Daphnia pulex: one gene and its partner. The protein of the gene in region 1 binds, or shares a complex with, the protein of each later gene. Links are inferred from orthologs where the notes say so. Each region holds a gene or a part of one and is shown on either strand. Other genes may lie near its edges. The genes, in order: general transcription factor IIF subunit 1-like and DNA-directed RNA polymerase II subunit RPB3-like.

Region 1 (4,497 bases):
GTAAACAGAAGAGGCGCATACATTTTTCTTTATGTGGAAGGATATGGGTAAATATCCTCGAGCGTCCTTGGAGCCAGCGGCCTATCTGATGGAATTTAATAGCTTGACTGCCTCGTGTTTGGCCTATGATATCAATGTAAAACCATTTTTATCAAACAATAAAATGTAGAAAAGGTTAATGCGTTATATGTCACCTCCAAATCTTCTGACGAGGCGATAGCATAATCTCGAGCTCTGGTCAAATAAGCGATAGCTTTTTCTTTATTGTTGAGCCGCAAATATGTTTTCCCCAGCATCAATAAATTCGTACTGAAACGAAACCATTCAAAATGCACAATTATTTAGAAAAATGAAAAATTAAACCAAGCCGTACCTGTAAAAATTCGGCTCAACTTCTTCCGCTCTTAGGAAATACTGCAGTGCCTCTTCGTAAGAAGATACGGGCGGTGTAGCAAACAAGGTTGAGGCAATTTGCCTCTGAAGCCACGGCAATTCAGCAACAGAAAAGCACCTAAAGTTGCACGAAAATGTGTTACGTTACATACAAAAGAAAAGTTGTTATCTTGTCATACCAGTAGCCTAGCAAATGAAATGAAGTTGCATCCTTTGGGTTGAGTTCACACGCTCTTTCTATGTGTTTCTTGACGACAAACGATTGAGAAATGCGCTCCTTTAAGCCCTCGTAGGACGCCTTTTTATCTAACAAAATAAACATCCACTTGTGAGCAGCAAAGTTTTCCGGATCAATGAGCAGCGCCCCTTCAACATAACCGTATGCTTCAAAATCTAATTCTTTTTGTTCAATTGGACTGGACGATAATTTCGCTACTTCATACGTCGCTCGTGCCAGTCGCCAAAGAATTTCGGCATTATCTTCGGCCTAAAAAAAGTTTTTCCAACATTAAAACAGAGACTGACAAATCAGTTTATTCTTATTACCTTGTAGGGCAACAGAAGACTTCTCAATTTGGTGTAGGAATGCTCATTGTACAAGACATCAGCTTCAGAAATAAGATTGGTCTTATTTTCTCTTTCTTCATCAACTTTTACACTAGCAGAGACTGCAGGTAACAAACCCAGCATCCATCCTGCAGATTAACAAGTTATTGATTGTTTTTGTTACATGAATTCAAAAATTAGGCAACTTACCAATGTTTCTTGAAACTAGAGCTGGTTTCTTAGGAACAACATTCAGGAATCTTTTCCTGTACACAACAAATGCATGGTAAACTATTCCATATATTTTTCTCCCAGAGAACGATAACACCATGACGAACGCTTTCCACAACAGAAAGAAAATAAATGACGAAAAACGAATTAGGCAGTTGAGAATAGATAGGTAATCTAATTCCATGGCGACCAAAATTGGAACTAACGAACTTCAATAGTTGAAAAATGAATAATCATTTACTTTACTTGTAATATTACTTAACAATTTAGACCTCTTTATAAAAAAACTTTTTGATTGGCCATTTTTGGATATTTTAATAAGGTAAGTGAGAAATAGCCTTTCACAATTTATCATGTGGTTCAAGGCGGGAAGTCGACAGTGCAGTCTCGACGTGAAAAGAAAAGAACTGAAGCAGACGAAAACTGAACTGGGTCGTCGTCGACTATTTTTCTTCAGTATCGGGTCGGGTATAAAATTCGTTGGCGCTGTTTAAAGTGTCCCAATATTTTTTGGCATAGAAATTTCGATCACCACCCCTTAATTTTGGCCTATAATTTAGTAACGTGCATAGTTGGGTTAGTTATTTACCATTCGTGACGAACTTGTGACGAACACATCGGTGGTGTGTCTCGATCATTGTGTCGCCGGTGAGAAGTTGTTTTGTCAATCGTTTTTCACCGTCACATCATAATGTCTGCTGTTAACAAGGTACAATTTTTTTGTCTTCTCAATCAGTTAATTCAATATTAATACATGTGTTTCTCAAGACTCCTACTGGTGGATCAACTCCTGCTGCTACCAGGGTAAAGACATTTTGGTTTTTAATTAATTAGTTCAACATAATAATATGTGTTACATTAGACTCCAGCTGCTGGTGGATCAGCTCCTGCCGCTGCTGCTTCTAATGTTCAGACTATTGACATTCGAGTCCCCAAGTAAGAATATCAGACATTACCATCTAGATTTTTGCCTTCTTAAACCGAGTTTATAATGTTGTCACAGGAACATAAACAAAAAGCTTGCCATCATGAGATTCAATGGCTCAATGGGTATTGACTTTGTACAATGGAAAGATCCAAAAATGGAAAGGGAAAACAACCAAGTCACATTCAAAGGGTTCAATGAAGATATGCCAAAGTTTGGTGCTGGGAGTGAATATGGCAGAGAGGCTCGTGAGGAAGCTAGACGGAAGAAGTATGGCATAATAAGCAAAAAGTATAATCCTGAAAACCAGCCTTGGATTTTACAACATGGGGGAAAAAGTGGGAAAAAGTTCAGAGGTATACTAAAGTTGGAAACCAAGCTAAGATAGCAATAAGAAAGTTTAGTAATGTGCAATTATATTTATTTTATTAAACAGGAGTAAGAGATGGTGGCATTAATGAAAATGCATCGTACTACGTTTTTACGCAAGCACCAGATGGTGTGTTTGATGCCTTTCCTGTGCAAGAACAATACAGTTTTCAAGCAGTTCAAAATTACAAACCACTGAGTATTGAAGAAGCAGAGGAAGGGTACAACATGAGGAACAAAACATACAACATGTTCAATGTCATGATGAGAAAGAGACTAAGGAAAGACGATGAAGACGCCGAAGAAGAGGGCGAGGAAGAAGGTGAAGGCAAAGGAAAGAAAGGCAAGAAAAAGAAGGGAGCTAAAGGTAGGCAACAAGCAAAAGTTCCACCATAAATAATGTCACAAAATTATAACAACTTTTGCATTCAGATTCTCGTTTTGGTGATGAATTGGACGATATGATGGCATCTTCCGATGACGATTCTAGCGACGGCAATGATGATAACGACGACGATGATGGAGAAAGTAAGAAAAAGAAGAAGAAAGGCAAGAAACCTGTTAAGCCGAAGAAGAAGCGAAAGAATGCGTCCGATGATGAAGCTATCGAAGATAGCGATGATGGTGATGGTGAAGGCAGAGAGTTGGATTACATTTCCTCTTCCGACGATGACGAAAGGTATGTCATTAATCTTGATGCATTTGTCGATTTTCTAACACACCCGCGTTGTTCTTTAATCTAGTGATTTCGAGAAAGAAGAAGCAAAGGACGGACTAAAGGGTGTTGCCGAAGAGGATGCTCTCCGCAAGTTGCTTAACTCGGACGAAGAAGATGAAGACGAAGAAAAGGAGGAAGAAGAAGACAAAGACAAAGAAGAGGAAGATGCTGAAGGTGCCGAAGACCAGCAAGGTGATAAGGCTTCCAAAGACGAAAAAGGCGACAAAAAGAAGAAGAAAGAAAAAAAGAAGAACAAGGATAAAAAGCCCCGCAACGAGGATTATGGTAATATCCATTTAAAAACATCGTGTGTTTGAGTCAAATAATAACGAAACATTTATCAGGATCGTCAAGCGACAGCGGTGCCGAGAGCTCAGCATCCGAACTGGAGAAAGCTAAACCGAGCCCAAAAATGAAACCGTAAGTGCAGTAATTTGGTTTCCTGACAGTTAACTGACAAACTATTTCTAGGGGGAGTGCCAACAGTTCTAGATCAGCTACTCCGACGAAACCTGAAACATCGCCGCCTAAAACAACGCTATCAGATAGCAAGCGAAAGGGAACACCTGCAGTGTCCGATGCTCTTACTGGCCAAGCAACAAAGAAACCTCGATTGGACATGGCATCCGCTGCTTCAGCTGCCTCTGCCGCTTCAGCTGCATCATCATCTAGGTATTTATAAATAATGAACTAAAATTAATCCTGAAACGTTATGTATATTTTTTCTTTTACAGTGCCAATGAAGGAGTCAATGAAGAGTCTGTTAGACGTTATTTATCCCGCAAGCCAATGACAACGACCGAATTGCTTCAGAAGTTCAAAAGCAAGAAAACTGGTTTGTCGTCGGACCAGCTTGTCCATCACATTGCACAAATTTTGAAGAAGATCAACCCCGTGAAGCAGACAATTAAAGGGAAGATGTATTTGTCGATTAAGGCTTAGCGACAATAACGATGATTGGTGTGTTCTGTTTGTGCTGCAATCACTATTGCTACTTTACTGAAATTATCTCAGGCCTTCCCTTTACGGTTTATAAAAACGGACTAGAACGGTTGTTAAAATGCGTGATTTTCGGAACGATTAAACAAATTTGCAGTTGTAAGTTTTGGTATTATTTCAACAAGTTATCTGTTATTGGAAACACTTCACATTTTTAGATGAAAAACAGCCATTGAACTGACAAGTTAACATTTCTTGGTGGTGAGCAAGGTGCTGGATATTCGTTCAGAATACTATAGAGAGAAAACTTGAAGTCGCTTTGACATGTCTGCTTCGTCGTCTGTGCAAGCCCTTTTCGCGTTTTCAATCAAGAATT
Region 2 (3,508 bases), on another chromosome or scaffold:
AAATCTGGAACAAACCAAATGCTCCTCTTGAAGAGTTCTTTGGTATTATTTTTTTTTCACCCACATATTAAATTTAGAGGAAACATGTTACCTATAATAAAAATATTCAATGCCCAATACATCTAGAAATGTGGTACAACGTTTTCTTGTGGGCAATGTTTTCTTCCATCTTCATTCATTCCGTTGCTGCCATAATTGCATTTCTGACATTAAGGAAGCATGCAGTTGGAAGGTAAAATATACCTAAGCATTCCACATATTCTGTTACAACTAAATATAATCTTTTGGCAATAGGTTTTACTCCATCATAATTCTTTTGATGGGAATTATCACACCTCTAACAACAGGTGCAGTGACAAGCGCAGTTGTGTCATTTGTGTATGAAAACTCAGGACTAGTCATGGCTAGATGGCATGTTGCACTTTGGGGTGTGGGACAAACATTCTGCAGTGCTTGTTTTGGCTTCACTAGAATTCTTGCAGTATTATAGATCACCAATGTATTTTTCATATTCACCATATTTTGCTGTGCTACATAAGTTCCTTTTTTACTCCATGTCCACCTGAGATCTTATAAGACAAATTAAATAAGTTTGATGATATTCGGCTTTACTTAATTCTTCGTGTATTAATTGCATTAATACAAAACCATTACAATTATTTCGAACAAAATGGAAAATCAGTTGATGGCGAGGGCATCGTTTTGCACTTCGTGGCTCAATTGGGTCTGCAAATCAGAAAGTTTCTTCTTGAGAATAGCGATTCCCATTAAGACAATATTTTCTGGTCGTAAAGATCCACAAGATTCCACGTTAACAAAAAATTTGTTAGGTTTGCCATCAGGATCGTATGGGGCTTCATCTAAAAATAAATAAATAAAAATTCAAATAAAACTAGTTAAACCATAAAAATTCGTTTAAAAATTACGTTGATCTGATTCGCCCAGCTCCGAATATTCACTCCTTGGCCATTCTTCAGGTTTCGGGAACAAAGTATGCCTCAATGAATTATCAGGGTCGTACTCAAAGGCCACTCCAGCTGTTGGATTCCATTTTGCATGTTCTTTACCAAAACCTAAAAAAAAATATATATTTTCAAGAAGGAGAAACAAATTGAACTGCAACAAAATTTACCTTTCTTGGCATATGCCCGCATTTTGAGTTCTTGTCCTTTACGAAGCTTGACAATTAAAATTTCTAAAACAAACAAAAAAATTTATAATCAAACTCAGATTCCAAACTTTAGAAATGTTCTGCAGTACCATTATCATTGTCATCTGGTGGCTCTTCATCCCGTTTGGAGGTAGCTGGAACCACTCTTGGATCAGTACTCTTTAGATCAGCAGTGGTGACATTGCGTGTAACATCCTCAGAACATTTAACATCCAAAGTGAACTCCACTGAGCAATCAACACAGAAATCTGGACAAGTGCAGTCTCTGGAATACTGCATCTTTTCAACAGAGTCATCACTAGTCAGTGGAATAAGACCCACACGATGTGCCAAAAATTCATCAAACAAGACAGTGGAATTTGCTTCAAACTGGACCCAATCAATGGCTAATGTAGGGGTTTCAGCAATGAAGACTCGCCTCAGAGAGTTTGCTACACTGAAATGTGATAAAGGCATGATATAAATGTTCTCATTACCAACAATTTAAGTAAATACCTAAGGTCTGTGTCTGAAATCTGAAATTTAACATTTTCCTCTGTTAGTTCGGTCAATTTGAGATTTGGTTGATTGGCGTAGGGCATTCTTAAGTAAGTTGTATTATTCAAAACAACAAACGTTAAGAATAATTACTTGCCGGCTTCTCGTTTCGACTCTCGCTTCCTTCTGCAAGTCTGCAACAAGCTAGCCCAAACAATGAGTCGTGTACAAGAACCTCCTTATTCTGTCACCAGATGGCAGGTATTACGAAGGCTGTGCGGGAAAATTTCATTTTTCTAAAAATTGAAATTTTTTCTAAAATTTTGGAAGTTTAATGTTGAAGATGTTGATTGCGTATTATTGGTTTGTAGATTTATTTTTTGATGAAAGAATTCGATACACCGTTTCCATTATTTAGAAATTGTTTCGACTAAATATTGGGAAATATAAACCATGTTTTGTTTTCCTCTCCTATCGCGCATCAGAATGTGCGCCGCTTTTAACGGCTTAACCAACGTAAATTGACTCACCAGACTGTTCATATTTATTTTGAAGTGCAATTCACTTTTTGAATACAGTGTTGAAATAGTTATTGTTTATATTTAGATATCATAACTTGGCTTTCTTCAGATTTTTAACTTGTGAAATTCTTTTCGGTTCAGGTGCGACGAAATGGCGTCAAACGAATCGTCCGATCCAAGGTCCAAAAAGTTACCGGTATCGAAGGAAGTACAGGAAGTTCGCCATGATGGATTGAGGATCTGATGACACGTCACCCAATATTACGACATTCCAATTGCGCGGGTCCCAATCTGGAAGAAACTTTGGCTAAACGCGGTTAACTGTTTAGAAAGAATTTTTTTTTTTTCAATCAACGAATAAAAATCTCATTCTAGATGACAGTTGTATGTTTGGCATCACGGAAATATTACACAGCTAATGATATTAAAATAAAAAAAATGAAAAAATAAAAACTACACGCATATCATAATAATTAAATGATGAGAACCCAAAGTTATTTTTATCAAAATGTGGTGTACAGCCGGAAGTGTGGGAAATATAAGGAAACATAAAAAAAGAAATTTTTTGACATGTACATAAATTTAAAAAAACCCAAGGTTACGTAAGGATAATGCAAAATTCCGCAATCTCTCTTTCTCAAAAAAAAGAAAGAAAAATCTAAATTTATACCAAATGAGTATCTGTTTGTTTTTTTCAATACCGTATGCAAATTGTATGCATTATGCACATCGACGTCGGTTCTTTTTCACTTGAAAAAGAAAAATGAAGGAAACCAATACTCGAAGGTAATCATATCGTTTCTTGCCGTCCAGTTTTTGAATTCAAATTATCATTCAAAATCTACGAAACGGGATCAATTTTCATCGTAGAATAAAAAAGGAAAGCGAACAGAGTCGAGGGATCAAAAGTAATTTGAACATTGTACATCCCCCGCTGTATATTCCCCCCCCCCCAACACACCAGTAAACTTTGACTTTTTAAAATACAAAAACCAAAGATTATGTCATCAAACGCGTCAAAAGCCATGTAATATTAAGGACTGAGCTGAGGAGGGACGATTGGGGCAAAGGTAGAGAGTAGGAGCTGCTAAATCCTTGCCATTCGATATACTTAGTTTATAGGTGTCTACCTGGGGGGCTTCTCGAAGGAAATGCTAAACACACACGTAAAGCCATAGAGATATAAAGTTGGAGGAACTGGTATAAGGGGGAGGATGAGAGAACGGCCACTCAATATTATTCTAATTAGCGCACAATATTTCTGGAACCGAGGGTTATTATATAAGAGGAAAAGAAAAAATATGTACAAAAAGATTACTATCATCTTTAAAAAAAAATC

The links.
Region 2: general transcription factor IIF subunit 1-like (region 1) and DNA-directed RNA polymerase II subunit RPB3-like share a complex: the UniProt entries of both Homo sapiens proteins name them as parts of the TBP-based Pol II pre-initiation complex. The link is inferred for Daphnia pulex from reciprocal best matches to the Homo sapiens genes GTF2F1 and POLR2C.

The regions. Positions count from the first base shown.
Region 1 is NC_060018.1:350,251-354,747, reverse strand, and holds general transcription factor IIF subunit 1-like, read left to right. Parts: upstream 1-1,552; 5' UTR 1,553-1,861; coding exon 1,862-1,879; intron 1,880-1,938; coding exon 1,939-1,974; intron 1,975-2,032; coding exon 2,033-2,106; intron 2,107-2,173; coding exon 2,174-2,451; intron 2,452-2,531; coding exon 2,532-2,831; intron 2,832-2,896; coding exon 2,897-3,143; intron 3,144-3,207; coding exon 3,208-3,467; intron 3,468-3,526; coding exon 3,527-3,602; intron 3,603-3,653; coding exon 3,654-3,854; intron 3,855-3,916; coding exon 3,917-4,124; 3' UTR 4,125-4,284; downstream 4,285-4,497. Other genes in the region: regulator of microtubule dynamics protein 1-like, read right to left, coding at 82-123, 195-309, 374-511, 573-880, 940-1,088, 1,150-1,379, 1,443-1,525; uncharacterized protein LOC124188758, read right to left, coding at 4,415-4,497. UniProt on the Homo sapiens protein: TFIIF is a general transcription initiation factor that binds to RNA polymerase II and helps to recruit it to the initiation complex in collaboration with TFIIB. It promotes transcription elongation.
Region 2 is NC_060024.1:10,723,732-10,727,239, forward strand, and holds DNA-directed RNA polymerase II subunit RPB3-like, read right to left. Parts: upstream 1,860-3,508; 5' UTR 1,753-1,859; coding exon 1,667-1,752; intron 1,608-1,666; coding exon 1,261-1,607; intron 1,196-1,260; coding exon 1,133-1,195; intron 1,074-1,132; coding exon 927-1,073; intron 861-926; coding exon 679-860; 3' UTR 608-678; downstream 1-607. Other genes in the region: transmembrane protein 170A-like, read left to right, coding at 1-42, 127-232, 295-490. UniProt on the Homo sapiens protein: Core component of RNA polymerase II (Pol II), a DNA-dependent RNA polymerase which synthesizes mRNA precursors and many functional non-coding RNAs using the four ribonucleoside triphosphates as substrates.